Linked DNA regions of Xenopus tropicalis. The protein of the gene in region 5 interacts with the protein of the main gene of each other region in a biochemical or structural test. Links are inferred from orthologs where the notes say so. Each region holds a gene or a part of one and is shown on either strand. Other genes may lie near its edges. The genes, in order: ess2, map3k2, scn5a, hnrnpul1, nedd4, rnf7 and ndfip2.

Region 1 (4,208 bases), on a different chromosome or scaffold from region 5:
CGGATTTTGTCGCCCATTTCGCAAAACAAGCCACCAATGGCGAAACTCGAAAATTCACAGCAAATCCATGCCTGCCAAATTATTTTGCCCATCACTTCTCGTGAAGAATAATCTCTGTGCACAGATATACAATTCACTGCATTTGCATGGTACCGTGCAGGACCAGTCCCCACGACTTTTCCAACAGGTGATTAGTTGCTGTGACTGGATTTTAAAAATCACGCCAACTAATCACCCCATCTGTCTTCGCCCTAACACAGCAGAGCGTACAATATAAGATCCCTAGTATGTATGCACATACACTAGGGTCAGTTTCAAGAACCAGTTAACCTGACAGTCTAAGGTAGGCCTAGAAAACAAAAAGTTATAAAAAGATGCTGCTTTTAATTTAATTTAAAAATAAAATCTATATTAATGTATATTGGAAAGGTAGGGTAGGCATAAAATTACACTTTCTTTAAATAATACATTTTGGGAAGTTTTTTATCTTTCATTCTGATTTCCAAACTTCTGCCTCATTGATAGGGTACAAAAACCCCAGCAACCAGTTATCACTCTAAATTCCAAGTTTTACAGCCGGAACACAAAATAATGTAAACAAAAAAAAAGCTATTTTATCTTTAAAATATGTCAGTGTATACTGTAAAAACCTGGGAATATTTTTAGCTAGAATTAAAATTGGTATTAATAAACATATTCCCAAGTTTTCAATGCGACTGCCACCCACTTCCATTGCTGTCTCCTACCTTAAACCTTTTTCTCACTGCTCCAGTCTTGGAAATTCTATACCTATTGCAGTCTTTAAAAAAACAAACTCATCTGACAATTAATATTTACATTTATATATGTAGTAATGTTTCGGAATTATTTAAGCCAGGCTGCTACTCCCTATCTCGCATGGGAATAATGTGTAAAGCTTGTCTCGAAACCCAAAGTAATCAATTAGCTAGTAGCAATTACTGTTTACTGATTGGCGGCTACAAATTGCTACATTTTAGACATTTTATTACATTAACCCATTAGATGTTGTTTCTAAGCAGGCAAGCCCATTATTTAAAACCCAAGCAGCATTTGCATTAATTAAGTAGCATGAATATAAAATATATAAGTAACAGGATCTTCCCCATGAGCTCATTAGTAATATAAACTTACAAGGCAGTGGAGTATCCTGAGCTGATTTGCCCAAGGTGGAGCCAAACTTAATGGAAATCTGTCTCATCTTCTCAAGGTCTCCACATTCCTCTGCTTCCAAATATTCCTTCTGAGCCCGCAACTTCTCAACATCTGGGAAGAAATCTCTCTGAATGATTTTCTGAAGATTCTGCATGAAGATAGAGAAAAACAAAAAGGTGGTTTTTACAAACCACATATACTGTTTGCTATGCCGTACAAAAGACAAGCTAGACAAAGACTTACTTATGTAATCACACTTTATATAATAAAAATCAAGATTTGTCTAACCACTGAAACTGAATCTCTAAAACGGAGCATATGATGTCCACACACTCCACATATTCCTCATTAAAAAAAAAACACAAAAGAAAAGTTGTATTTCATGTTATGAATTCCAAGTTTAGGGGGTTAATGTGGCATTTCATTTAGGCATTAATCTGCTGATAAGGGTACAAGCATTTTAGAAAATATAGGGTTTCTATTTAAATCCTATTTTTTTGGGAGTTTTTTTTAATACAATTGCTCTCAGTAGTGGGAACCCATCAAAAACTAGCAAGCAGGCTCTTGTTCCAATTACTCTTTTCATTTATACATCCATAACATGTTGCTTTAACTTTGAGTGGCATGCATTAAAAGGAGAACCAGTGGGCTATTATCAAACTATATAGGGGTTATGTAAGGTACTAAGTTTGCCCATGTGCAGTAAGCCATAGTAAACAATGAGCAGGTAGCATTTACTGATCACCTTTTAAAAGCAAACATCTTATTGGTTGCTATGGGTTACTGCAGATGGGTAAACATGTAGGGGTCAAGGGTAAGGGCCCACGGTGAAATTAGTCGCCCATGGTTAGATCTCGGCTACAGTGGGAGACTTATCTCCAAGAAATTCCTTTCCATCGGCAATAAAGTGAATGGCCGGTGGGAAAGTTGCATTAAATTTTCACCTGCAGAAGGAACTTTGTGCCTGATGATACCACTGACATTTGCTTATAGCTGAGCTCCACTGTCTTCTATGATAATATATATTTAACAGTTAATATTAAAAAAAAACCTGTGATTATTGGTTGAAGTAGTTGCTCTATTGTCAAAGGGGCATTTGCCCGTCTCATGTAATTTAGTTTAGGTAACTTGCCATGCGTGTGAATATTATAGGGCCAGTGCTCAGTTTTTCGGCACAGTACTGCAAAGACTCTACGACATCGCACTGATCTGACAGCTGTCCCCAAAAACACACTCAAGAGCACATTCCTTCTCATGTCACCGTATCCCCCGTGACTTACCTGTATATACGTCTCTTCACACAGCACCTTCTTCTTTGGCCTGCTGCTCTCTGCTGCCTCAGGGACTTCTCTTTGTATGTCTAAAGCTCCTGCTCCAGGCTTGTGTTTCACTAATGCCCCAGTGTTTTCACTCTCCGCTCCAGGGGCTGCCATCCCGCGGTACTGACACAGAGACACCAGCACACAAACGCTCACATATATAAAGCCACAAGGATTCTTGCTGTGTATAGACGTCTAAAAAACAAATCGCAATCCCACCGCAATATAACTACATTCAGCAGACCCTCTCCGACACCATACAACCACAACGCATTCCGGAAGATGAAGCGCAATAGCGTATTGCATTCTGGGAAACGTAGTTGTAACGTGAGTAAATTGCCGGAAGTTGTAGTGTGGGATGCGGGGAACCTTCCAGCAATGAATTCATACAGGAGTCAATACAATAATAACAAAAGGGATAAATACCAAATATAATTATATTCAAGTTTAAATGCTGAGTAGGAAAGAGACCAGGGAAAGGAATTCCATTCCTTATAAAATTTACATTTTTTTTCCTCGGGTTTTCAGACTATTCACTTATTTTATAGGTACAGTTTGATTTTGCTTGTTTGCTTACAATTCATATTTGTATTACATACTGACACGGTATTTTATATCCTGTAGTTAATGTTATGTCACTTTATGTGATTTACAAAAGTATGGAACTATACCTCCCAACATTTTGAAAATGGAAAGAGGGACAAAAAGAAATGCCACACATAGCAAGGTGAATTTCATTTTTTGGGGTCTTGTTTTATGTGTTATTACAGTTTTGTTTAAAAAATGCTGAAATTGCCCTTTAAGCTGCAAGTCAGTTCCCCACAAGAGACCTGTTTAGCTTATAAGTTACAATTGTATTTCAGTGCAGGTGAAGCTTGTTAACTTTTTGGGCTCTCTGCCAAAAGCTACTTTTTAATTAAGTTTGAGAAACATTTGTATCTTTTTTGGTCTTCAGTGCAATGAAAAGGGCAATGAGGGACTTTTCAGTAAGAATCCAGGACTGCAGGCTGAGCTGTCAAAACAGGGCCGGAACTAGGGGTAGACAGACAGGCACCTGCCTAGGGCACAACGATTGGGGGGCGCCAGGCAGGAACCTCTCTTGCCTACCCCGTAGTCCACGCTACCTTGTCATTGCCCCCGCCGCTTGTCATTACGCGGTGGGGGCAATGACCTCCCCCTGTGCTTGATGGAACTGCACATGCGCGCCAAAGCACACACGAGGGCGGGGAAAGTGCAGGGAAGAGGTGACCGACCGCATTGCCTAGGATGGCCGGTCAGCTTGGCCCGCCTCTGGTTGGGAGCTGTTTGAGGTGCCTTGAGAATGTTTATGATCATTATGATTTAATTAGCATGCATACAAGGACATGCCTTTCAGAGGGGCTGCTGTAAGATGCCATAGACAGTAACTATTTAGTGGGCTGGTGGAGGGCTTTTTGGGTCTCTGTGTACTTGAAATGCCAGGGCCTGTTTGGAATCCCTGGGCCTGGTTTGCAACCCTGCTAAATGCATATACACTACTAATGTTTTGTAAAACATTGTAATGATCTTTGTCTAATAAAGACATGATCTTTGTCTAATAAATTACATATTTGTAATCTTACAATAGGCATTTTACAATAGGCATTTCACAACCTTACTGCATTCAGGCTTGCTGCATCAAGCTCCAGAAGGGGGAGCCGTTCACCTTAGGATATTCTCTTTGCAAATAGAGGAGAA
Region 2 (4,021 bases), on a different chromosome or scaffold from region 5:
TACAGGTACTGTTTTATTATTACAGAGAAAAGGGAATCATTTAACCATGAAATAAACCCAATAGGGCTGTTCTGCCCCCAATAAGGGGTAATTATATCTTAGTTGGGATCAAGTACAGGTACTGTTTTATTATTACAGAGAAAAGGGAATCATTTAACCATGAAATAAACCCAATAGGGCTGTTCTGCCCCAATAAGGGGTAATTATATCTTAGTTGGGATCAAGTACAGGTACTGTTTTATTATTACAGAGAAAAGGGAATCATTTAACCATGAAATAAACCCAATAGGGCTGTTCTGCCCCCAATAAGGGGTAATTATATCTTAGTTGGGATCAAGTACAGGTACTGTTTTATTATTACAGAGAAAAGGAAATCACTTTTAAAATTCTGAATTTATTTGCTTATAATGGAGTCAATGGGAGATGGCCTTTCCGTAATTCAGAACGGAATTCATCTGGATAATGGGTTTCCGCATACAAGATCCCATATCTGTATTCCTTTACTTACAGGTGGTTACCAGCACCCTATCCAGGCTGATTTTAGAGGCCGTCTTAGTGTTCCTATTAGGGATGCACCAAATCCAGGATTCGGCCAAGATTCTGCCTTTTTATGCAGGATTCGGATATGGCCTGGTTGAACCAAATCCTTAAAATCATGTGCCTTTTGGCCACATAAACACAAAGTAAAACAAATTTAAGCAAGCACGACCCAGAAATAGTGTATTTGGTGCATCCCTAGTTCCTCTGCAGAGCAGTGACCATAGCACGGGGCCAAACAATTGCCCTTCCCAAACCATATCTGTTTGGACCTGTACAGGCTGCAACTGGAGAAGCTGGAAAATCTAGTTGCCTAAAAATGAGAGCAAGTTTAGTGACTTACTGCACAGCCCCTATCCGTCAATGCTTCTAGCCCCCCCACCAGAAACAAGCAGCTAATTTACACCACTGGATTGCATGACTTGCTGGATCAGCTCCCAGGAATCTCCCCCGTCCCTGACTGATCCCCTTAGGGCTGAGCTACACTGCGTGCAACAACACCAGATCCTGTCGGGCGCTACTAAATCTGATGAGTTTATGAGATCTTCCGGTCAATGTATCTCTGCAACAGCGACTATAAAGCCTTAGTACAGGTATGGGAGCCATTATCTGGAAACCCGTTATCCAGAAAGCTCAGAATTACGGAAGTGTCATCTCCTATAGACTCCATTATAAGCAAATAATTCTAATTTTTAAAAATGATTCCCTTTTCTCTGTAATAATAAAACAGTACCTGTACTTGATCCCAAATAAGATATAATTTCCCCTTATTGGGGGCAGAACAGCCCTATTGGGTTTATTTCATGGTTAAATGATTCCCTTTTCTCTGTAATAATAAAACAGTACCTGTACTTGATCCCAACTAAGATATAATTACCCCTTATTGGGGGCAGAACAGCCCTATTGGGTTTATTTAATGGTTAAATGATTCCCTTTTCTCAGTAATAATAAAACAGTACCTGTACTTGATCCCAACTAAGATATAATTACCCTTATTGGGGCAGAACAGCCCTATTGGGTTTATTTAATGGTTAAATGATTCCCTTTTCTCTGTAATAATAAAACAGTACCTGTACTTGATCCCAACTAAGATATAATTACCCCTTATTGGGGCAGAACAGCCCTATTGGGTTTATTTAATGGTTAAATGATTCCCTTTTCTCTGTAATAATAAAACAGTACCTGTACTTGATCCCAACTAAGATATAATTACCCCTTATTGGGGCAGAACAGCCCTATTGGGTTTATTTAATGGTTAAATGATTCCCTTTTCTCTGTAATAATAAAACAGTACCTGTACTTGATCCCAACTAAGATATAATTACCCCTTATTGGGGGCAGAACAGCCCTATTGGGTTTATTTCATGGTTAAATGATTCCCTTTTCTCTGTAATAATAAAACAGTACCTGTACTTGATCCCAACTAAGATATAATTACCCCTTATTGGGGGCAGAACAGCCCTATTGGGTTTATATTATATGTAAGTAGCTCCCCTATTCTGTATAATAAGAGAAAATACCATTCCAATCACCATACACTTTCTTCCCTCATTCTCTGTGGGTTTAATGTACTTGCCAAGGCAATTGCTTCTGACTGCTGCACTGCTGGCTGTGACTGCTGACACAATGTAGCAGATAGCAGCTGATTCCCATGGCAAACACAAATATTAGCCACACTTGCCCCCCCATGACACCCTCAGACATTGCTCCCCAGCCCCAATACATCATATAGCCCCCCTGTAATGCCCATAGCACCCCCCCTTTACAGTTGTCCCTCCCCCATAACAGCCCCCAATGAATTCCCCCCCCCTCAGAGTTCCATAAACACTAATAGCCCCCCAACACAACCCCCCCAAAGCCTGCAGCCCCCTTTAAAATGAATGTGTGGCCCTTATACCTGTCAGCTGAGCCGGGGGCCCGGTTGTACTTCCCAGAAGCCCTTGCAGCTCCGACTCCAGCAATCCCCCGCCCCCAGCCTGTTCCTCCCGGGGGGGGCGGGGGGTCACAGGCCCGGGGGCAGCGGCGGCAGTGTTATTCCGAACTGGGCCCGCTCTTCACAAAATGGCGGCCATCCCGGAACCCTCGGAACTTGCACAGGCCCCGTAACTGCTCCGCTTACGAAAAGGCAGCCGCGGCGTAAGGGTTAATTAATAAGGAGCGACGGAACCAAACCGAGCGTGTGAACCTGGGACTACGGGACCGAGTACGCGCACGTCACAGGGGGGAGGGGCTAGCGCCAGCAGAGACAAGCACGGAGGCGTCAATAAAGGGGAGGAGCACGGCTGTCATCGCCTAGAGACAAAACTTTCAGCTTATTGGCCCACAGCCTTGTCTGTCATTTCAACAGGGGATGGCTCAAGCACATGCGCAATTCGATTGGCTTGCGTAAACTCTCAACGACGGAATTCTGGGAGTTGTAGTTGTGAAGCTCACGGAGATGCGGAAGCTGAGCGTTCAGATTTAAAGTGATAGAGTTCCCTACTTGTGAGGGGGTTTTGCTCGTGTTTAATTTTCATAGAAATGTGGAATAAAAAAACACATTCGGTTGATAATGTATCACTTGTAGTATATCAGTGTCGCCTTATACCGCGTTAGACCGGGGTGGCCCTTCTCTTCCATTCCATGGAGTTTGTCTCATAAAGGTTTTATTCAAGGAAATAATGTCAAGTTGTTAATAGACAACATTAAGGGGTTCTGTGCCCCCCATATAAAGGCACAAGGCTGCAGGCTGAGTTATACAGGGAACTCTGAGTATCACTCATGTATTATAAGGGATAATGTACCCCCTACTGTAAATGATAAGGATATTAGCAGTCACTGAGGGGTTCTGTGCCCCCCATATAAAGGCACAAGGCTGCAGGCTGAGTTATACAGGGAACTCTGAGTATCACTCATGTATTATAAGGATAATGTACCCCCTACTGTAAATGATAAGGATATTAGCAGTCACTGAGGGGTTCTGTGCCCCCCATATAAAGGCACAAGGCTGCAGGCTGAGTTATACAGGGAACTCTGAGTATCACTCATGTATTATAAGGGATAATGTACCCCCTACTGTAAATGATAAGGCTATTAGCAGTCACTGAGGGGTTCTGTGCCCATATAAAGGCACAAGGCTGCAGGCTGAGTTATACAGGGAACTCTGAGTATCACTCATGTATTATAAGGGATAATGTACCCCCCTACTGTAAATGATAAGGATATTAGCAGTCACTGAGGGGTTCTGTGCCCCCCATATAAAGGCACAAGGCTGCAGGCTGAGTTATACAGGGAACTCTGAGTATCACTCATGTATTATAAGGGATAATGTACCCCCTACTGTAAATGATAAGGATATTAGCAGTCACTGAGGGGTTCTGTGCCCCCCATATAAAGGCACAAGGCTGCAGGCTGAGTTATACAGGGAACTCTGAGTATCACTCATGTATTATAAGGATAATGTACCCCCTACTGTAAATGATAAGGATATTAGCAGTCACTGAGG
Region 3 (4,028 bases), on a different chromosome or scaffold from region 5:
ATTTACCCCAATTCTCTAACTGTACTATTTTACCCCAATTCTCTAACTGTACTATTTTACCCCGATTCTCTAACTGTACTATTTTACCCCGATTCTCTAACTGTACTATTTTACCCCGATTCTCTAACTGTACTATTTTACCCCGATTCTCTAACTGTACTAATTTACCACACTCCTCTAACTGTACTATTTTACCCCAATTCTCTAACTGTACTAATTTACCACACTCCTCTAACTGTACTATTTTACCCCAATTCTCTAACTGTACTAATTTACCCCACTCCTCTAACTGTACTATTTTACCCCAATTCTTCCCCATGGTACTGGATTTACCCCAACACTTTAACTACTGGATTTACAAAAGTCCTATAAATGTACTAGATTTACCCTAATGCTGTAACTCTGGATTCACCCTCCTCCTTCAACTGTACTATTTTACCCCAGCCCTACAAATGTACTTGGTTTACCCAAATTGTCCAGCTGTTCTGGATTTACCCCAGTCCCCCAACTGTATCAAATTATCCCAGTCCTCCAACTGTAGTTGATATACCCCAAACTCCAAATGTCCTGGATTAACCCCAGTCCTCCAACTTTACTTGGCTAGCCAAAATTGTCAAACTGTACAAAATTTACCCGAGTCCTCCAAATTTGATTTACCCCAGTCTTTCAACTGTATTAATATACCCCAATCCCCCCCACTGTACTGGATTTACTGTATTTATCAGATAAGGCGGCTGCGATACTCTTAGTTCTAACGCCCCGCAGACCCGTCACTCCCCGTCTGAACAGGTTTCTCTAGTCCTAAATGGTACTCAGCAATCAGCCTTAATCTTATCAATCTCCCGTGATGTCTTTAGTAGCAGCAGCAGGGCCCTGGGTAAAAAAGACTTTCTGCAACCTGTTATTTATATAGAATGTAGGGCAACCTGCAGCCTCCTTAGCTGTTGTTAAACTACAACTTCTTCCACAACTGAGCGCTTGAAGGCTGGGAAACAGTAATAGAAAGTATTATGCCCGCCATGTTGCCCTTCTGTCTTCATCTTGCCCAACTATACCTGCTGTCCACCGCCAACACACACTCCTACCTACAGCTGCTGCTCCGTGGGGCCCCATTATTGGCAGGGCCCTAAGCAGTCAACCGTACTGTTGTTTAAGAAAAAATAATTTTTTTCCCAAATGTATAGTAAATTAGTAGTAAATTGATGTAAATATATCAATATATATTATATTATACATACAAAAGCACACATATGTGCAATGCAGTGTGCGCAACTTTTCCCTGTATAAATGTGTGTGTGAATATAATATACATACAGTATATACAGTACCCCATTACAAAGCTGTAAAAGCCAATCTAGCCGTAGCCATTTTCAGCATGCCAAGATTTCCAAACTAAAATAAAAATTTACAATAAATCAAATACTGAATCCAAACAAAGGGTTTAAACCCAAATGAAGAAATTTGTTGCTCGCACCCCCGGTTGAATTCAGTAGACGGGGCAATAAGGGCTGAGAGTTGTGGGCGCAAGTCTGGGTATCTGGTTACTAAATGTACAATAGGAAGCAGATGTCTGGCACACACACTCAGCTAGAAGGTAAATAAATGAATTTGATTCAGGAGGCGAAGCCATGCAGCGCGTTCCCAGCACACAGGGTTAGACACATGCCAAGTCTGGGGGATACTTACAGCGCTGGAGAGCTGTCCGCAACAGTTATGACTCCCAGGTCCCCAGAACTGCGGTTAAATTCAGGGGGATTAAACTCCACCGATGGTTCTGCTCTCCCCCCCCCCCCTAAATCTCAGTCCAATTAAAAACTCAGCTCCCGTTGTTATTTGTGGGAGGCACAAGAAGTGGGGAATACGCCAAACCCCCCCACCTCCAGCTGCTGAATTTTGCCAAAGCTGAATAGGAGTAGTGAATATTGAAAAAAAGAAAAAAGCAAGAAGGAAAATAAAAGGGGGGCAAGTTTAGGTATTCCAAGGGGGTGAAGTTGTAGGCAAGGGTGAAGCGTTTAATTACCTGCAGAGGGTTTGCTGAGATTGAGGCTCTGGGATGTGTCCAGTCTGACTAGCAGTTCACAACTGGTCTCAAGGTAAAACCACTCCTCAGTCAACCAGGCAAGCAGCTGCCCCCAGCACTCACTGGGAGGACCAAGTCAAACCCTCTTCAGTTCTCTTGGAATTCCATGTTCCCTCCAAGCCTCGGGGTCCTGTGATAGTGTCAGGACAGGAATGTGGCCAAGAGATTCATGACTGTGCAAGCCCTAAAACCCAGCCAAGCCACCTCCACCTTCCCACCCAGCTGCTCCACCACAACTGCACACTTAGCCAAAGTAGGCTGAGATCCACCAAGGAGCAAAGAGCCCTCCTGTTCTGCGCAATAGGGTTTGCTGAATGCAAATTCAGATTAAAAAGGCAAATGAAATGTTAATAGCTGGTCCCAAACTGGAAGTCTAATCCTTTCTGGGGAAAAGCCATAAAATCATTATTAAAATCACAGTGAAACTCCCAGGCAGGCTGGTCCAGCTGGTTTCTCCTCTCCTGTGGTCAGGTAGTAACGCAGAGGCAGCTCCAAAGTTAGCATCCAAGAAGCTGAAAGTTTCATGGAAAAGCAAGAGTCTTGCAAAGTATTTGCTCCAGCTGAGATTCCCTTTCTGGCACTGTGGGAGCTGATCTAGCTGCACCTTACTGTGGGCTCCAGAGAAATACAAAGAGAATTGCTTCCACCTGCCAATGCAAAGCCTGGGGCAGGTGCGATCTCTAGCATGTTGTCTTCATAATAAGCACAACAGGGAGCACTCTCCACTGAAAGGGATGTGGCTGCAATATTCCCCAGCCAGTCACTCCCTTATACGAACCTCCCATAAGCAACTGTGCACGTACAAACGCTGGATCGTTAGCGCCACCTAGCGGCAGGCTGAATACGCTCGGAATGGAATCCAGCGCTGCGCAGATTTCGTGCTCTTTCAATCCGATTAACTCTTTTTATAATCAATGTGCAGTGATTTTGCCATCATTTGCCTTAAGGAACCAGACGATTATCATGACTAAACAGCAAGAGTTTTATAAATCTCCCTAGAAACAAAAATAAATCATTACAGCACAGTCAGGGTTAATTTTAGGTGAATGTCTCTTTATGTATTAGGTTTTACGAGAGATGTTAGAATTTAAACTCCAAATCTAAAATAATGTGCCCTCATCTATTATTCCATTATTTAACCCCCTAAAGGGGTAGTATAAGCTTAATAAGAGGTAGAGGTGATTCTATCTCTTATTTTGTAGTTTTTTTATATTTACATTTTTTCTTGTGCAGCTGTGACGCTTGGAATTCTAACAGCAATCTCGTTGCTAGGGCTCAACTGCTCAGCAACTAGGAAGAATAGCCGAGGGCCTGAATATAAAGATTAGCATTATTCATTTATTTATTTGTTTGTTTGTTTATTCGTTCTTGCTGGGATAATTTTTTAATTGCAGGTAGAAATGAGGCAGACATAGAAGGTCAATAATGAAACCTCATCCAATATAAAAAAAAATAATAAGGATTGAATAGGCCAATCTACTAAAACTTTATAGAAAGGTAAATTATCCCCCCACTGCTACTATAGGCACCATCTCTCCCTACTATACCTGCTATCCCACAGCCCCAGTCCCTTCCCAGAGGCTATTATCCCCCCACTGCTACTATAGGCACCATCTCTCCCTACTATACCTGCTATCCCACAGCCCCAGTCCCTTCCCAGAGGCTATTATCCCCCCACTGCTACTATAGGCACCATCTCTCCCTACTATACCTGCTATCCCACAGCCCCAGTCCCTTCCCAGAGGCTATTATCCCCCCACTGCTACTATAGGCACCATATCTCCCTACTATACCTGCTATCCCACAGCCCCAGTCCCTTCCCAGAGGCTATCATCCCCCCACTGCTACTATAGGCGCCATCTCTCCCTACTATACCTGCTATCCCACAGCCCCAGTCCCTTCCCAGAGGCTATTATCCCCCCATTGCTACTATAGGCACCATCTCTCC
Region 4 (3,969 bases), on a different chromosome or scaffold from region 5:
AAGGTACGAAAAAGTCGCGGAAAATACGATTGGACTGATTGAGCAAACACTCGGAGCGTTCGTGAATAAGTAAATGTGCCCCATAGAGTTGAGCAAAGTTATGAACTGTTTTGAATGTGAGGATCATCAGTTTGAATTTTATTTTGGAAGCCAGTACAGGGATTGGCAGAGTGGCATGAATGAGGAGCAGTGGTTACTTAGGTTATGAACCACCATGTGAAGACACTTATCATCACACAAAAAAGGCAATGCCATTAATGGATTAAAAATGACATCACTGACTTGATACAAGAAACACAGCTATGCAAGTCATAATGCCATGTGGGCACAAGAGTGTCGTAATGCCATATGCTCTTTATTATGTTTAGTTCCATGACATGGAACAATTAAAAACTGCAGATTAAAGCTGGCCGCACGTGGCGATTTTCGATCTTTCGAGCGACCACTGACGTTCAGGGCTGAATCGTCAGATATGGAGGTAGAAACAATAGGATTTCTACCTCCTTCTGCCGATTCAGCCCTAAACATAGATTTTGCTCGGGCGCCTTCTATGGTGCCCAGTCAAAATTGTTTAACCCGCCCAATCAGTGAGTTGATCGATATTATCAGCTTTCTGTGATATTGGTTGCATCGCCGAGTTGCCATACACACACCGAATATCGTATGAAACAAGGTAAGAAATGCCAATAATTATCACTGACATTGAAAAGACAAGCAGGTAAAATTCAAACACAGATGTTAGAAGATAATAGAATAGGTTAAAGAAGATAATTTCATGACAAATTCATGCACTATGAAAAGGAAATGCCTATGCAAAAATCCAAACCAAGCCTAGCATTTTCTTGTACCCTAATGTGGACAACATATCATCTATCAGGAGGCTATTATTATTCTTTCAACCTGATCCAAACCACAAGCTCTGCGTTACAAAGTATATACATTGCATTAATATTGAACTGTTCTTAAATATGCACGATAACATATTGGGAGTACCAACATGGCAGGCAAAGCCTTACACATCGGTATATCAAGCTTTAACGTTTCATTATCATTAATAGACGTAGCGTTGCTATAGGAAACAGCTATCGTCGGTTTCTATTGGACATTCTAAGTTACCGCCCATCAGATTTAGCTAATCTGAGAGCGGCTGTAGCTCTCTCGCTCATTCTATTGATTAGTCTTCCTTGTGTGTTCTAGCCAATCGCTGTTTGCCTAGGCTGCGCAGGTTTGGAGGCCGGTGCAGCCATTTTGTTCACCCTCGGTGAAGACCCGCGTATTGGGGGAGGCAGCGTTGACGATGGGGGATCACCAAGCACAATACCACCGGGGCGGGTATCCTGCAGGGCCGCCTAGAGACTATCGCAGGGAAGGGGAAGGCCGGTGTAAGGACGGGAAAACGAGGGCTACACAATGGGGGTCAGATCTGGAATCGGGAATGTTTAAGGAATGGGGCATTGTGAGATATGTTTAATTAGAAGCAAAAGAAACGAAGGCAGAGTTGCATGGGTAATTGTTAGCTGTTTGGGAAAGCTCGGTGGAGGGCCGCGACAGGAAGGATAGGGTGTAAATTCTGACAATGGCAAGGCAGCGCTTGTGACATAAGGTTGTATCTGGGATAGTAATATAAGAGGGTCTCTGTAGGCAGACATTTCTACCTTACTCTGCGCTGTCCAGGTTACAGTGTGTATTCTGAGCATACAGCTTTGCCCAGTTCTTTTGTGCTGGCATGAAGGAATGCACCTCCACTTAATTAAATTGCTTATTGTTTTTGGGACAAGTTGCTTAATTTAAAGAATCTTTAATATGAGCGTATCCATAAGCTTTCATGAAATCATGTATGTGCTTCTCCATGCAGTGTAAATGCCCTAAGAACTTGTAGCATTCCATTCGCCATACATTAACCCCAGGAAATCACTTCTGCTGGTCATGAGATAATCTAACAGCAGCTCATTTACTCTGTCACCAGCCTTGCCCAACCCCAAGTATCATGTGTTTTGTTATTTATTACATTTCTAATTGCGTTTAGGTGCATGCCACACTCCTTAACCAATATGAGCTGTTAAATTATACTTCTTAATCCAACAAGCACATATTTCCTAATGTGCATTTGTTCTGTAACATCAGGAAGTATTTGACACCTGTTTATTAAATAGACATTCTTTTATTGTCTGCTTTTTTTCTAAACAAGAAGCCACTATTCAGTCATTGTATAATGTAGTAGGAAATTATTAAGGTACAAAACTCAAATCTAAAGCACTCACCCAAAGGTTCTGTTAAACACACACCTTGCTGTATACAAACCTAACAGACAATAGTTTTGCAGGTACTGCATATTTAAAAAATATTTGCTGTATAGCATAAGGTTTTTCAGAAAGGAAACATACAATCTTAAGGAATTTGCAATTAAAGGAAAATGTGCAAAATGTTACACTTTATGTTGAGGCAAAAGTAAAAGCTTTTTTTTTTCTTCTTGCCTGTTTGATTATTCACAATTAAAAAAAAAAAACATGACACTTAATCCTGTTTGCCTGTGCATATCCTACTACATCTAAACATCTTTATTGATATTCGTTTGCTGATGTGACCAAAGCAGAAGCTCCTTTTTGCTTTTAGGTGTTTATTTAAATTAATTGGCCCGCCACTACCATCAGCCTAAACACAAAGTCTCTGCCTGTAACAGCTTTCCATAATTATCTATGGGGAAATATAGTGCCCAAAGCACATATGGTTGCAGACAGACATTGGAGGCTCCAGCAAATTAATTTTGTATATGATATAGGCAAAAACAGCACAAGAATATCTCCAGCTGTATATAGACTGCTGTCTGGCTACTGGGCTTTAGTGGGAAGAAGATGTCAGAGTACCACAATGAAGCATGGATAGCAGAGGGCTCAAAATAGACAACCCATAATAAAGCAACAATGTTTTAATTTTTTAAAGGCATTCTGACAGGATTCTACTATTTCTTTAGTGCCATCTCTGGAACACTGGGGATGGATTTTTTTGGGTTGTAGAAAAAAAACAGAATTTGAGGCAGTTTCTTGTCCTACAATCTTTGTAAGCATGTAGAAACCCTTTGGACTTGTAATTTTGGGCTACAGTGGTCCTGAGAATATAGGTCAAAACAGTGAAACTATAATTCTTTTAAAATGTATGCACTGCTCTGAGTCATGGCATTTAAAAAGGGCATAACTACTGAAAAGCAAATGTTTGTGAGAAGGGGGGTCTTTTATACGTCTTGTTGCAGAATGTATTCATCATGTTTATGTATAGCACTGTAATTTAAAGTGGTGGTTTATCTTCAATATGTAAATGTAATTTTTTGTAAAGCTGTCCTCATTTGAATGTTAACTGCTATAAGGATGCTATGGCTTTATTACCATAGCAACAATGCTACAGTTTGATATAATAGAAGATAGAGATGCTCAATAGAAGGATCAGAAAAAATATAGGAATAATAAAAAATTCTTGCACTCAGTCTGTTAGTTAAATTACAAGGGAATAACAAGAAGACGAAATAATTACAAACAAATGAAAACCTGGCTTAGAGTAGGTCTTCCTATAAAATTCTCTTAAGTTTATTTCAAGTAGGGCTTCTTCATACATTTTGCGTGTGGATTTCCAATTATATGTCTCTTTCCCCAGATTATGGAAATCAACCTTCAGAAAACTATGGAATGTCTGCTGGTTTTCCTCCATTCAGGCAGGAGGGCATCAAGCAAGAGCGAGATCAGGGCTATGATCGTTATGATAGGAGACCTGCAGAGCAACCACCACCTCCTCTCTTGCCAAATATGGGTACTGTTTCTTTTCCATGATTATTTTTTCACATTTTACAGATGGCTGTAGTGCATACCAGCCTTGCTGTCTTTTGTTTTGTTTTTTTAATATGTCATCTGTATGCAAGCTTAATTTCACAATTGCAAAAAGAAATTGGTTATGTCAGAAGGATTGTGATGAAAATAGTGA
Region 5 (4,234 bases):
TGGTTTGGGGAAGATTTTAGAAAGCAGTCCTTAACAAGCTGTTGATTATTAAGGAAGGCAACCTGATCCTAAGCAAGTACGTACAAAACCTTCAGTGCCTACAGACCCTGAGTAAAGCTCTGATTTAATTTCATGACTGCTGTGTACAGATAGCTGGCATTACTAAAAGCTACTCTAATATCAACGTGTTAAATTTGAACCCACACACAGCATATCAGTATACACACCCAGACTAACTGGAGTCAAGAGAAATATTTTGGGAGCTGTTTATTTTTAACCGGTGCACAATGCTGAACTATAGCTGGCCAGAACACATTCACAATTTAAGACTTGCACAGAACTGCACAGTTTGAAGAGAAAACTTGCCCAAAATAAGCTTATTCAATTACAAATGCCATGGGGTCAGAAGAGCACTTGTGTGATACACTAAATGTAATTGCTAAGTGTTTACAGAGAAACAGCTAGGGACTTCTCAGAAATTTAGTACATTTACATGGAGTCTGTAAAAGAAATGAAGCACCTGATCTTTTTTCTTCCCCCCAACAAACACAGCTACCAAAAATCCCTCTTTAGAGCTGGTGATGAAATATAAATATAAAAAGGATAACAAGCAAATATGCAAAAGCAAAACATTAATTTTGATGAGGTGGCCCAAAATGTAATTTAATATGTTAAATAAGCTTACCTTAAGTAATTTCACAGAAGGCTTACCAGGCAGTTCTGTTGTGGGGCTTCTTAAAGATTGTTTCTTATAGCTACTAATCCTGCTTTCGTTTCCAGGGGCAAACTGTATGTGCAAATAAGAGGACCCTGATTTTGGATGTCTACATTTAAGGCTAGAGGCAGAGGACCGTTTTTGTGGGGGACCTTCAGAGACACTTCTTTGAAAAACATGAGTTAATTGGCACTTGTGAATATTTTTGTATCCCTGCTCTGAGCTTCTCCCCATCTGGCATTCCACAGTTTTATTGGAGGGAGAATATGCGGATGTGCTGCGCACCAGCCGACAGTGCCGTGCATCTGAGTTCAGCTGAGGTTTATCCTCATGCAGTTTGCTGTGTTCTGCAACAGAATTGCAAATATTTGGCAGTCCATCATCTTTGTCATTCAAGTAAAGCGGCTTAACATCTCTAACCTCACCAACATTGCAGGTGTTTTTGGAAAGCCGAACCCCATTGACTGCTGTTGAAAGGGACCCCTTGGAGGCTGCTTGCTCCTCTTTTTGTGTAAAATCATTAGAGGATAGCATAAGCTGGTAAGAAGTTTGATAGCAGCCCCTGCTTAATGGAGGGACTAGACTAGTTGGAGATGTTGGTGGAGTGTCAGAAGGAAAAATAACTAATGAAGAGCAGCGTCTTAATGGAATTCTTGTTTTCTTCCTTGCAGGAATTCTGACCTCCTCTTTTTCTGAGTGATCCAGGTCAAAATGGAACTTGCAGTTATTTATAGGCAAAGGTTCTTCCAGTTTACTTTTAAAAAACTCACAGTTTTCTTCTGGGTTAAAGAACAGGGCATTACCATTGGGTAATACATTTAAGTAATTGCTGTCACTTAAAGAATAAGTACAGCTACTGCAGTCACTTACTATACTGTTAGCACACGAGCCAGCATCACTTGCGGTACTTGCACAGGAGCCATAGTCACTGCTGTTGCTACTATATGATCCATTGTCACTTGCAGAAATGCTTAATAAACTGCCATTTTCAGCTGAGGTACTACTACTGATGCAGGTGTCATTTATGGTGGGTTGACAGTTATAATTCCTGCTCATAGTAGAATTAATTCCATCCTTGTAAGAACTGACGACGCAAATATCTTCCATAGCAGGCGCAGTGTTGCCAGATTGATGACATCTAGTATTCCTGCTTGGCTGTAAAGAAATCTGCACTGAAGTGCTTTTTTTGCATGGTGGAGAAACAGAATGACCTTGATGTATAGGAATAGTTTCTGGGGAAGAGGACTTCTGCACACTTTGCCTCGGAGACAGCCTCATTTGAATCACACCGGGTGCAGTTGTTGGAGAGAGTCTTTTAAAGCACATATGAATATTACTATCCAAGCCATCTCCAGAGCTTTCTGGTAAGGGATCAGTGTTGCTTCTCCTAGTTGCAAAGTGAAGTCTTAACCGCCGAGCCATTTGTTGTTTCTGAACATATTATAGATTTAAATATATAGAGCTCCCTTTCTCCAAATGCAAACCAAAAGCAGCAGCAAAGCATCTATAATAAGTGCAAGAAAATACACATACAGCGGCAGAATGTGTCCCAGTCAACAAGAGGCAAAGTACAAGCAAAAGGGTACAGCAAAGCACGTCATGAAACAAACATTTTCCAAGGATCCTAGCTCTGCACCGTCTTGGATATCTTCTATTTCAACTGCATTCACTTTCCAGGCAGTTGATTTCCAGCGACCTTTACGCTCAGCTTTACTGCAGCATACTGGCTGAAACACTGCCAAGCGTGTTTCAGTTCTACTTTCCCATATTTGCATGAATGAGTCCTGCCCAAGATCAACAGACCTCTTGCATTACTTTTTGTTTCTGTACCAGATCGGAACACTTGCCCATTTGAATCAATATGCCTATGTGTTCCTAAGCAATTCCCAGCCTCTCATATTTTTACCCATAGATATAAAGTTACAGGAAGTTTCAAGGAATGAAGGTCCACATAATCGAGCATCGGCGTTGGGATTGAATTTCTAAAGCCCATCCACACGTGTAAACTGCAGTAGTAACTGCAGGAAATTGGTACCTGTTATTATATATTTCAAGTATAACAGAAAATACTTTTATTTTTATAGTGGCATTTTTAGTTACAATCTTAACTGAAATGAATATGTTCTCTTAAAATGGGGAATTATTATTTTACTTTTGGCAAAACTACATCTAAACAGACTGTGCCTCAACTAATATATTTAAACTAATCTATAGTGGTCATATTAATTTTAACAACAGGAATATTTATAAAACAAGAGTGTCCTCTAAGTTCTGTATAACTTAAGAAATAATGTATTAGGTGACTACAGGAAATGGTAAATGGCATTTACATAGGCATACATAATGTAAAATACTTACAAAAAATGTAATGCAGTAAATATATAAAATAAATAAATTTAAAAAACAGAATGTAGGCTTGATAAGCAAACTTTGTAACTCACAACTGTCCTGTGGTGCCACCTAGTGGTTTTACTAAAAATTCCATTGTTGGAGAATGTTGGATAAATAATATTAGTTACCAGGGGTTTGCAGATAAGGGATCTCCTTTGAATCTCCTTACCTTAGGTCTGCCAAAAAATTATTTAAATATTAAAGGGATTGTCATGATTTTTATGGTGTACTTTTTATTTATAAATAACACTGTTTACATAGCAAATAATTTACTTTACCATTTTAAGTGTTATTCTTGAACCAACAAATGTATTTTTCAGTTGTAATAATGGTGTGTAGGCAGCCATCTCAGTGCATTGTGCCTGAGTCTGAGCTTTCAGAAGGAGCCAGCGCTACATATTAGAACTGCTTTCAGGTAACCTATTGTTTCTCCTACTCCCTTGTAACTGGAGGAGTCCCAAGCCAGACTTGGATTTCTTATTATTTTGCTACCTTCCCATTGTTCTCTTTGCTTATAATGGAGTTCATGGCAGGTAGCTCTCCCGTAATTTGGAACTTTCTAGATAATGGGTTTCCAGATAACAGAACCTATACCTGTAGTAAACGTTTGGATTGGAATTCCTTAAATCTAAACAAGGCCTAGTCAATTAAAGCAACTTAATTAGACAAAATCCTTTCTGCAGAAAAATGTCAACTGAATTAAAGCATATAAAATTCAGTTTTGTTTTAATCTTTGAAATAGAAAATAAATGTAGAAGAAATTGGCCTGGTTAAACCATTCCAAATCTTCCTGCAGTTTCCACAAGACCCATGGGGTTTGGCTATAAGTAAACCAGGAGCATGCCAAAACACAATTAGAAGCCAGTGAGAAAATCCCCACTGACTGCAGAGTATCAGAGTTTACAGGAATCATGCATGGTATACAGTTTGTGTGCAAATCCTTATAATGTTATTATAAAGTCAACCCTTTTAGTGAAATGTGAAGTAGAGCCTATAGTTTTCAAATAAAAAGACTATAGTATTGGCTCGGTAGGTTCTATGTTTTCTGTTAGCTCTTTCATCTATGCTGCATTTTTGTATGTGGCAATGCACAGGGTTAAAACATTGAGATTATCTGCAGATTAAAGG
Region 6 (4,231 bases), on a different chromosome or scaffold from region 5:
CTACTAGGTAGCCATGAACTCTCTCCCCGGGCTTAGAAATCCAGTCAGTTATTAACATACCCACACAGTCCTCCTGTTTGTTCTCAGCTTGGCAGCGCAGGCAGGCATCTAGAAAGGAAAACACACCTTCCATTAAAATATTTCCTCTTATAACCCTCTTCTGCCCAGCAGCAAAAAATAAATTATATAATGTGGCTAAACAGGAAGGAATTCCATGCAGAAGAGGCTTGAATCCAATCTGAGGTGCATGTGTGTATATAATCACAGACAGACCTATCTGACATGAGATTTTTCATTTCTACATAGACCAGGGTGAGGTAGGGATTTAATGCCAATGTAAATTAATGGGATAGTCGCAGGAACTGAATGGGTCCATGAGAGTCACAGGAAGACTAGTATGGATAAAAGAGGACGGAACTGTACCCAAACTGTTGTCACAAAGTAGAAAACATGGAACCGTCATTAACAGTATAGTACACTGTTTCTTTCAATGGGGCCCTAACTGATTATTATTCCTCCCCACCAAGCTTTAAATCTGCATTATGCATTCAGGTAGGGAGTGTCCAGCTGGTGTCTGTCACCCACACTCATTTGGTAAACAACTAGGATGGTAACAAGGGATTCATCTGACAAAGGCCTGTTCCCACTGCTCCCAATATCCTCCCCAGGAGAAGCTTAGCATTCCAAATGTTAGGCTTGCGTGACACTGCCCTCTCATAGAAATCCTTATTCTTACTTTACCAACAGTTCTTGTGCTGCCATTGCTTTCAGGAACAGTGTGGAGCTCAGAAGTGAGTGTTCCAACTGACGGATATGTGCTGTAATCTGCGCTCAGCATTGCCTGCGAGTATCCAGGCCCCACTACTTCACTTTCCCACCTACATCTCACCAGCACCAAAATCTCACAAACTAAATAGCAACAAAACAGACATCTTATGATGATGCCATGTTAAAAATCACTAAGTTTGGCAATATTTGTTGCTGGTGCTTCATTATACCCCCAGATCAGTAATGAGACTGAAGTGTGGCTTAAATAATAACTTCCACTAATCTGAAGGGGAGTCTGGATACTTCAAACCATATAGTGTTTGTTTGTGTATATTTCACAATATAGAGAACTAGATCCTTTATTAACATCAATGCTGTGGGACAAGTAGCCAACACTTTATGTTTTTTATCATTTATTTGAATAAATGATGTGACACAATGGGGTGTATGGGAATAAATGATGTGACACATTGGGGTGTATGGGAATAAATGATGTGACACATTGGGGTGTATGGGAATAAATGATGTGACACAATGGGGTGTATGGGAATAAATGATGTGACACAATGGGGTGTATGGGAATAAATGATGTGACACAATGGGGTGTATGGGAATAAATGATGTGACACAATGGGGTGTATGGGAATAAATGATGTGACACAATGGGGTGTATGGGAATAAATGATGTGACACAATGGGGTGTATGGGAATAAATGATGTGACACAATGGGGTGTATGGGAATAAATGATGTGACACATTGGGGTGTATGGGAATAAATGATGTGACACAATGGGGTGTATGGGAATAAATGATGTGACACATTGGGGTGTATGGGAATAAATGATGTGACACATTGGGGTGTATGGGAATAAATGATGTGACACAATGGGGTGTATGGGAATAAATGATGTGACACAATGGGGTGTATGGGAATAAATGATGTGACACAATGGGGTGTATGGGAATAAATGATGTGACACATTGGGGTGTATGGGAATAAATGATGTGACACAATGGGGTGTATGGGAATAAATGATGTGACACATTGGGGTGTATGGGAATAAATGATGTGACACATTGGGGTGTATGGGAATAAATAATGTGACACAATGGGGTGTATGGGAATAAATGATGTGACACAATGGGGTGTATGGGAATAAATGATGTGACACAATGGGGTGTATGGGAATAAATGATGTGACACAATGGGGTGTATGGGAATAAATGATGTGACACAATGGGGTGTATGGGAATAAATGATGTGACACAATGGGGTGTATGGGAATAAATGATGTGACACAATGGGGTGTATGGGAATAAATGATGTGACACAATGGGGTGTATGGGAATAAATGATGTGACACAATGGGGTGTATGGGAATAAATGATGTGACACAATGGGGTGTATGGGAATAAATGATGTGACACAATGGGGTGTATGGGCAGTAGTGTAACTGGTGGGCATGGGTGCAGTCCCACAGGGAATATCATGGCAAAATCCAAACAGATGGGGCAGATGGGGGGGTGAAAGCATTGGCACAGGGAGGGGGGGAAGGATGCTAAATAGCCAAGGGGCTATAGCAACATTACTGTCTATGGAGATTTGAGTCATCCAGGGGGGCATAAAAAGCTACTAGGAATGGGATGTCCCTCTCCCCCCAGGATGACAATACAGGAAGGGTAATGGTATATTCCATATACCGCCTGTGTGCGCCTGTCATTTCAGTAGGTGACAGTAACCCCCGGCCCCCACCAGAGACTGTATGGCCGATTCCCCAAGCAGGGCTGCTGCTGGCAGCGGAAGGTAATTCCCGCAACACGAAGCCTTCGCCCCAGTGCCAGCGAGCTGTATCTCTCACCCATGACCTGCACCCTGCAGATAGCGCACGTATCGCACTCCACATCCCAGCTCCACATCGCCACCGCGTTCCATTTCTTCAAGGAGAACATCTTGGGTCCGCTCGCTCCGTGCTCCTCCCGCAAAGCAGCCATACCGGCAGGGGGCGGCTCCTCAGATAGCCAATCCTTTCGATGTGCTGCGGTAATTGACCCAATGAGAGAAGAGCACAGGCTAAGCTAAGCCAATCGCTTTAGCAAAATATATCTGTAGAGCCAATCCCAGTACGCAAGACATAGGGTTACGCCCCTAGAGAAGCAACCAATAGCTATACTGGTTCTATTCGCCCGAAACAGTTAAGGGAAAGGCGCTGCGATTTGTTGCTGGGGCGGAGCATGGTGTTGCCTGATGTCAGTATTTGTGTTTAGTGACAAATATAATGAACATTAGGTTTATATTTAAAAGTGTTATCATTGATATATTCCTAGGTGAGGATGATTTTGCTCGTTTATCAACCCTGGGTGAATTTGCACATGGGCAGTAACCTATAGCAACCAATGACCAATTAGCTTCATTTCAGTCAGCTGCATGTAGAGTATTTATGTATGTATGTGTATATATATATATATATATATCTTTATTTATAAAGCGCTACTTATGTACGCAGCGCTGTACAGTAGAATACATTAATGTAAACAGGGTGTTAATAAGATAATAGATAAATACAAAGTATAACAATAAATACAGATAAATACAGCTGCAATAAGTTAAGAGTCAAAGACACAAGAGGATGGAGGTCCCTGCCCCGTAGAGCTTACAATCTATATGGGAGGGGTAACTTACAGACACAAATAGGCAAATATAAGTGCTGTAGGTCACAGTGGGTGACACTACAATATAAGTGCCAGTTCCCAGATCAGGTGCTGGGTGAGTCTAAAGTCTTTTAGTTTAGTCTTAAAAAGACTGGGGGAGGATTCTCTCCGGAGGACATCAGGGAGGGCATTCCAAATGTAAGGGGCAGAAAGGTTTAAGGCGGGAAACCGCAGTAGTAGTGGGGGGCGCAACCAAGCGATTGCTCTGCGAGGAACGAAGGAGTCGGCCAGGAACGTACGGAGACACAAGGGAAGAGATGTAGTGAGGAGCAGAGGAATAGAGGGCTTTGAAGGTTAGGAGGAGTTTGTAAAGGTGGCCATACACGAGGCGATTTCGCTCGTTGTGCGATGAACGATTATATCGACAAACGATCGTATGGCGATCGAGTTCCCATACGATATGCCATCCACGGGCAACGATAATTCGGGAAAGATTTTGTCGCATCATTATCGTAAAATACCTACGATCGTACATCTACGTACGATCGATGTCGTTGACTTCTGCTGCTGGCAATCGTGACATGCGCAGAGAACAATCGTTGAAAGACAAATGTCTGACACTCACACCAACTGGCAGATTTTATCGTTAAACGACCAAAATTTTTAAACCTGGCCGATCGATTTTGGGGACGGTAATGTCGGCTCGTTTAGTGGGCCGACGATCGTTCGTACACCACCAACTATACGATAACTTAACGATAGCATCGGATCGTTCGGGAATCGGTCGTTTGTAAGTAAAAAATCGGTCCGTGT
Region 7 (3,500 bases), on a different chromosome or scaffold from region 5:
GATAGAATTTGGAAAGGAGAACAGCAGCAGGATGATGAGGAAGTAAGTTGGTTAACGGTAAGAAAGGATAATGTAGGGAAAGGAAAAAGGAAGGCTGATCTGTGGTTTGAGCATCCCAACAGATTTGTCAGACTGTATGAGGAAGATGGGAGTTTAAACTCTGGAAAGGCTGTTTTAAATGGGCCTGATCACTCTTACGGACTGGAGAACTGCCTCTATAATAGTAGTGGTAGTGGTGGGGGGAAGAGATGGGTGAGATTGAGTTACTAGGAAAGTGGCCAGGGTTCAGCATATCGTAGACAAAAACATTGGGTGGGACCGAGCATAAACTAGCAGTCTTCGGGTGGGACTAAAATGCTGGTGGAGTGTTTAAACTATGCATCGGAGAGCATTATGTTGAAGTTAGTGTAGATAGGGCGCACATAGCATACCAGTTAAGGAGATCGCATTGTTACCAAAAAAACTGGCAATAAATATAGATCAAAGGTGGCCATACATGTTAAAGGAACAGTAACTCCAAAAAATGAAAGTGTTTTAAAGTAATTATAATACAATGTACAGTTGCCCTGCCCTGGTAAAATTTGCATGTTTGCTACAGAAATGCTATTATAGTTTGTATAAATAAGCTGCTATGTAGCCATGGGGGCAGCCATTCAAGCTGGAAAAAAGGAGAAAAGGCAGAGGTTACATAGCAGATAACTGATAAAACACCATTGTATTGTAGGGAACTTATCTGTTATCTGCTACATAACCTGTGCCTTTTATCCTTTGAATGGCTGCCCCCATGTCTACACAGTAACTTTGTTTATATAAACTAGTAGAGTTTCTAAAGAAAACACACCAGTTGTAGCAATGCAGGGCAACAACACATTATATTGTAATTACACTTTTTTGGTGTTACTGTTCCTTTAAGACCTGCTCATCTGTCAAGATTGCCAAAAGAGTGGATCTTTCTCCCTGTATGACCACCTTGGCCATAGGCCAAACAACTGAATTACGGTGACATGTATAAGAGATGTCAGAGCTAGGACTGCATCAATGAGCCAATGCAGTCCCAGATCCAGTGGAAAAACCAATCCTGCCTGATTGACACCTGGTCAATTTTTGCCCAGATATCAGTTGGAGTGGCCCATCAGGGGTCCCCATGAAAGGGCAAATAAGCTGCCAAATAGGTCGGAAGGCTTAAATCTGCCCATATGTGACCACCCTTACTCTCCATTGAGTAACATAAATATCAGAGGGAAAAGTAGTAACCTTTGCTGTCTGTGCAAATGCACAAATTGTGAAAGCTGGAGTTGATTGTTTTTAATAAAATTAACCAGGATTAGCATGAGGGTTAGCCCTGTGGAAGCTGTGTAGCATGCGTGAAGAGAATAAAGCCTACCTACTTTCACAATGGAAGAGGCTTCACAGCCAGTCGTGATTAATAGTGATATTGACTGAAGTAATGGGGCAGACAAGTCTTATTTAGGTATTTTTTTATATGTAAATACATATAGAGCATCATATTGTCACATAAGTAACCCATCACAGATCACTTCAACCTTTGACATCTATGGGAGATACTGAGATTGCTCCAAGTGTGCATTTGGCTCAATATTTATAGCTAGCAGTAGTTGTTTTGGAGAATTAAATGCCAAATTGATTTCTTTCTTTAGCTTCAGAATGAGGATGATTCATCAGAGGCACCAACTGTAGAACAGCCTTCAACCTCTACGCAACCATCTCAGGCTGCCCAAACCTCATCATCTGCATCAGATGTCTCTCCTCCACCCTACAGCAGCATTGTTGCTGGAACAACTACAGATGCAGGTACATCTAGTTAAGGAATCCTTTGTTTAATAAAAACATAAAATCAGACAAATAAATACGTTTGTAACTTATTTGTCTGATTTTATTGTTTGAATTTCTTCTATTCTTTTCCTTTTGGTTTCTATGGTTGCAGACACTGAGCAACAATATCTGTTTACTTTAATACAAGGACAAACATATTTGTCTAATTTTATTTTGTGCAGTTTTTATCTTTTTTTCCTTCTGGATGATGTGACATATAACAACTGTGCTTTGCTAACTTTAGGTCTTATTTTCTGTTTTACTTTTTTACCTTTTGTCTCACTCTGTATGTTGTGTCTCACTCTAGTGATGTCATGTGATGTCACAGCGTCATATAATCATGTCTTTTGCTGCATTATAAGCCCTGTGAGTGTGGATTCCTTTACATCATTTTTTTACGGGGTTCTTAACCAACTAACCGTTTTAGCTGTCAGACTAACCTCTTGCTGGTTAGTCTGACAGCTCGGTAATCAATGGACACACACTGTTTGGTACATTCGTTGATAAATTTCTCAGCATCATCTGCAACTATTGTATCAATTATGGTTAGATAAATGTAACAACTAATGTATCAAATAAGTTGATACACTGACTTCCCCGACTCGGTTCTAATGTCTGGGACAATAGAGAACTGCACTGTGAGGTTAAATAAAGATGAGACCTTGTTACTGAGGTGTTATTTACCTATACCTTTCCTTCTTCTTTAAGGTTGTTGTGATGTGTATTAAGCAAATTCACTGTGCTGCAGAAAATTGCCTTAAAAAATCCCTGCAATCCTGGGTGACTCCCCTAACTCCTTTAAGGTGGCCATACACGTGGCGATCTGACGATGTTTCGTACGACCATCGGTCGCACGAAACATCGTAAGATCCGCCACACACCATTCAGGGCTGAATCGGCAGGTAAGGAGGTAGAAACAATAGGATTTCTACCTCCTTCTGCCAATTCAGATCTGAAGGGAGAATTTTGGTCAGGCGCCTTCTATGGCGCCCGATCAAAATTTTCCAACTGGTCCGATCGGCGAGTCGTCCGATATCAACAGGTTCCTGCGATATTGGTCGACTCGCCTACATACCATACACGCACCGATTATCGTACGAAACGAGGTTTCCACACAGAAAGATGACTTGGTGGGCTTGGGAAACACAGTACTGTAGCACCATCTTACCTTGCTATTCAAGTCATCTCTTTTGTCACATTTAGATGTACTGTTGCAAAAAAACCTATAACCTTGTGCTACTGCGCATGTGCAAGTCCCTGGCTAGGAACTGGTAAGCAAGATGGGGGTGCTGTGATTTAAATTTCCTTGACTGGTGCAGTTTTTCCTAACAGGAGCACAGGCCCAGCGACCACACCTAGAAATTCAGTCCACTGGGAGGTGACTAAGATTTTGGCACCCCTGAGTGAATAGAGCTTTTCTCGTCTTTTAAAGCTTCTGGGTCCCAATATATCAAGCAACATTGTGGATAATATTGCCCTTGTTCCTGGTATAAGATATAAACTATGACAAGGCAATTCTAAATCAAAAGCTGATGGGGAAAAAAAAACTTGAGCATACCCCCTTGCCCATTATGAGTTCAATAAATAGTGGTTGTGCCAAACATATATTTGCCTATTGTTTTAATCCCGAAAAATATATGACTTGTGTTATTTCTTGAGCTAAAAAG

The links.
Region 1: the proteins of nedd4 (region 5) and ess2 interact in a test that uses a peptide from one of them, tested with the Homo sapiens proteins (2 studies listed by BioGRID and IntAct, with this or other methods). The link is inferred for Xenopus tropicalis from reciprocal best matches to the Homo sapiens genes NEDD4 and ESS2.
Region 2: the proteins of nedd4 (region 5) and map3k2 form a complex in vitro, tested with the Homo sapiens proteins (2 studies listed by BioGRID and IntAct, with this or other methods). The link is inferred for Xenopus tropicalis from reciprocal best matches to the Homo sapiens genes NEDD4 and MAP3K2.
Region 3: the proteins of nedd4 (region 5) and scn5a form a complex in vitro, tested with the Homo sapiens proteins (3 studies listed by BioGRID, with this or other methods). The link is inferred for Xenopus tropicalis from reciprocal best matches to the Homo sapiens genes NEDD4 and SCN5A.
Region 4: the proteins of nedd4 (region 5) and hnrnpul1 form a complex in vitro, tested with the Homo sapiens proteins (2 studies listed by BioGRID, with this or other methods). The link is inferred for Xenopus tropicalis from reciprocal best matches to the Homo sapiens genes NEDD4 and HNRNPUL1.
Region 6: the proteins of nedd4 (region 5) and rnf7 form a complex in vitro, tested with the Homo sapiens proteins (2 studies listed by BioGRID, with this or other methods). The link is inferred for Xenopus tropicalis from reciprocal best matches to the Homo sapiens genes NEDD4 and RNF7.
Region 7: the proteins of nedd4 (region 5) and ndfip2 form a complex in vitro, tested with the Homo sapiens proteins (3 studies listed by BioGRID, with this or other methods). The link is inferred for Xenopus tropicalis from reciprocal best matches to the Homo sapiens genes NEDD4 and NDFIP2.

Annotation. Positions count from the first base shown.
Region 1 is NC_030677.2:153,459,323-153,463,530, forward strand, and holds the start of ess2 (splicing factor ESS-2 homolog), read right to left. Parts: upstream 2,801-4,208; 5' UTR 2,607-2,800; coding exon 2,454-2,606; intron 1,322-2,453; coding exon 1,153-1,321; intron 1-1,152. UniProt on the Homo sapiens protein: May be involved in pre-mRNA splicing.
Region 2 is NC_030685.2:86,477,614-86,481,634, reverse strand, and holds the start of map3k2 (mitogen-activated protein kinase kinase kinase 2), read right to left. Parts: upstream 2,801-4,021; 5' UTR 2,435-2,800; intron 1-2,434. UniProt on the Homo sapiens protein: Component of a protein kinase signal transduction cascade. Regulates the JNK and ERK5 pathways by phosphorylating and activating MAP2K5 and MAP2K7. Plays a role in caveolae kiss-and-run dynamics.
Region 3 is NC_030682.2:13,453,893-13,457,920, reverse strand, and holds the start of scn5a (sodium channel protein type 5 subunit alpha), read right to left. Parts: upstream 2,801-4,028; 5' UTR 2,021-2,800; intron 2,014-2,020; exon of another isoform or gene 1,687-2,013; intron 1-1,686. UniProt on the Homo sapiens protein: Pore-forming subunit of Nav1.5, a voltage-gated sodium (Nav) channel that directly mediates the depolarizing phase of action potentials in excitable membranes.
Region 4 is NC_030684.2:79,222,536-79,226,504, forward strand, and holds the start of hnrnpul1 (heterogeneous nuclear ribonucleoprotein U-like protein 1), read left to right. Parts: upstream 1-1,169; 5' UTR 1,170-1,297; coding exon 1,298-1,382; intron 1,383-1,416; exon of another isoform or gene 1,417-1,502; coding exon of another isoform or gene 1,503-1,506; intron 1,507-3,645; coding exon 3,646-3,798; intron 3,799-3,969.
Region 5 is NC_030679.2:100,447,885-100,452,118, reverse strand, and holds the start of nedd4 (E3 ubiquitin-protein ligase NEDD4), read right to left. Parts: upstream 2,801-4,234; 5' UTR 2,138-2,800; coding exon 686-2,137; intron 1-685. UniProt on the Homo sapiens protein: E3 ubiquitin-protein ligase which accepts ubiquitin from an E2 ubiquitin-conjugating enzyme in the form of a thioester and then directly transfers the ubiquitin to targeted substrates. Specifically ubiquitinates 'Lys-63' in target proteins.
Region 6 is NC_030681.2:129,414,009-129,418,239, reverse strand, and holds the start of rnf7 (RING-box protein 2), read right to left. Parts: upstream 2,801-4,231; 5' UTR 2,762-2,800; coding exon 2,629-2,761; intron 109-2,628; coding exon 61-108; intron 1-60. UniProt on the Homo sapiens protein: Catalytic component of multiple cullin-5-RING E3 ubiquitin-protein ligase complexes (ECS complexes), which mediate the ubiquitination and subsequent proteasomal degradation of target proteins.
Region 7 is NC_030678.2:125,255,751-125,259,250, reverse strand, and holds part of ndfip2 (NEDD4 family-interacting protein 2), read left to right. Parts: intron 1-1,658; coding exon 1,659-1,812; intron 1,813-3,500. UniProt on the Homo sapiens protein: Activates HECT domain-containing E3 ubiquitin-protein ligases, including ITCH, NEDD4, NEDD4L, SMURF2, WWP1 and WWP2, and consequently modulates the stability of their targets. As a result, may control many cellular processes.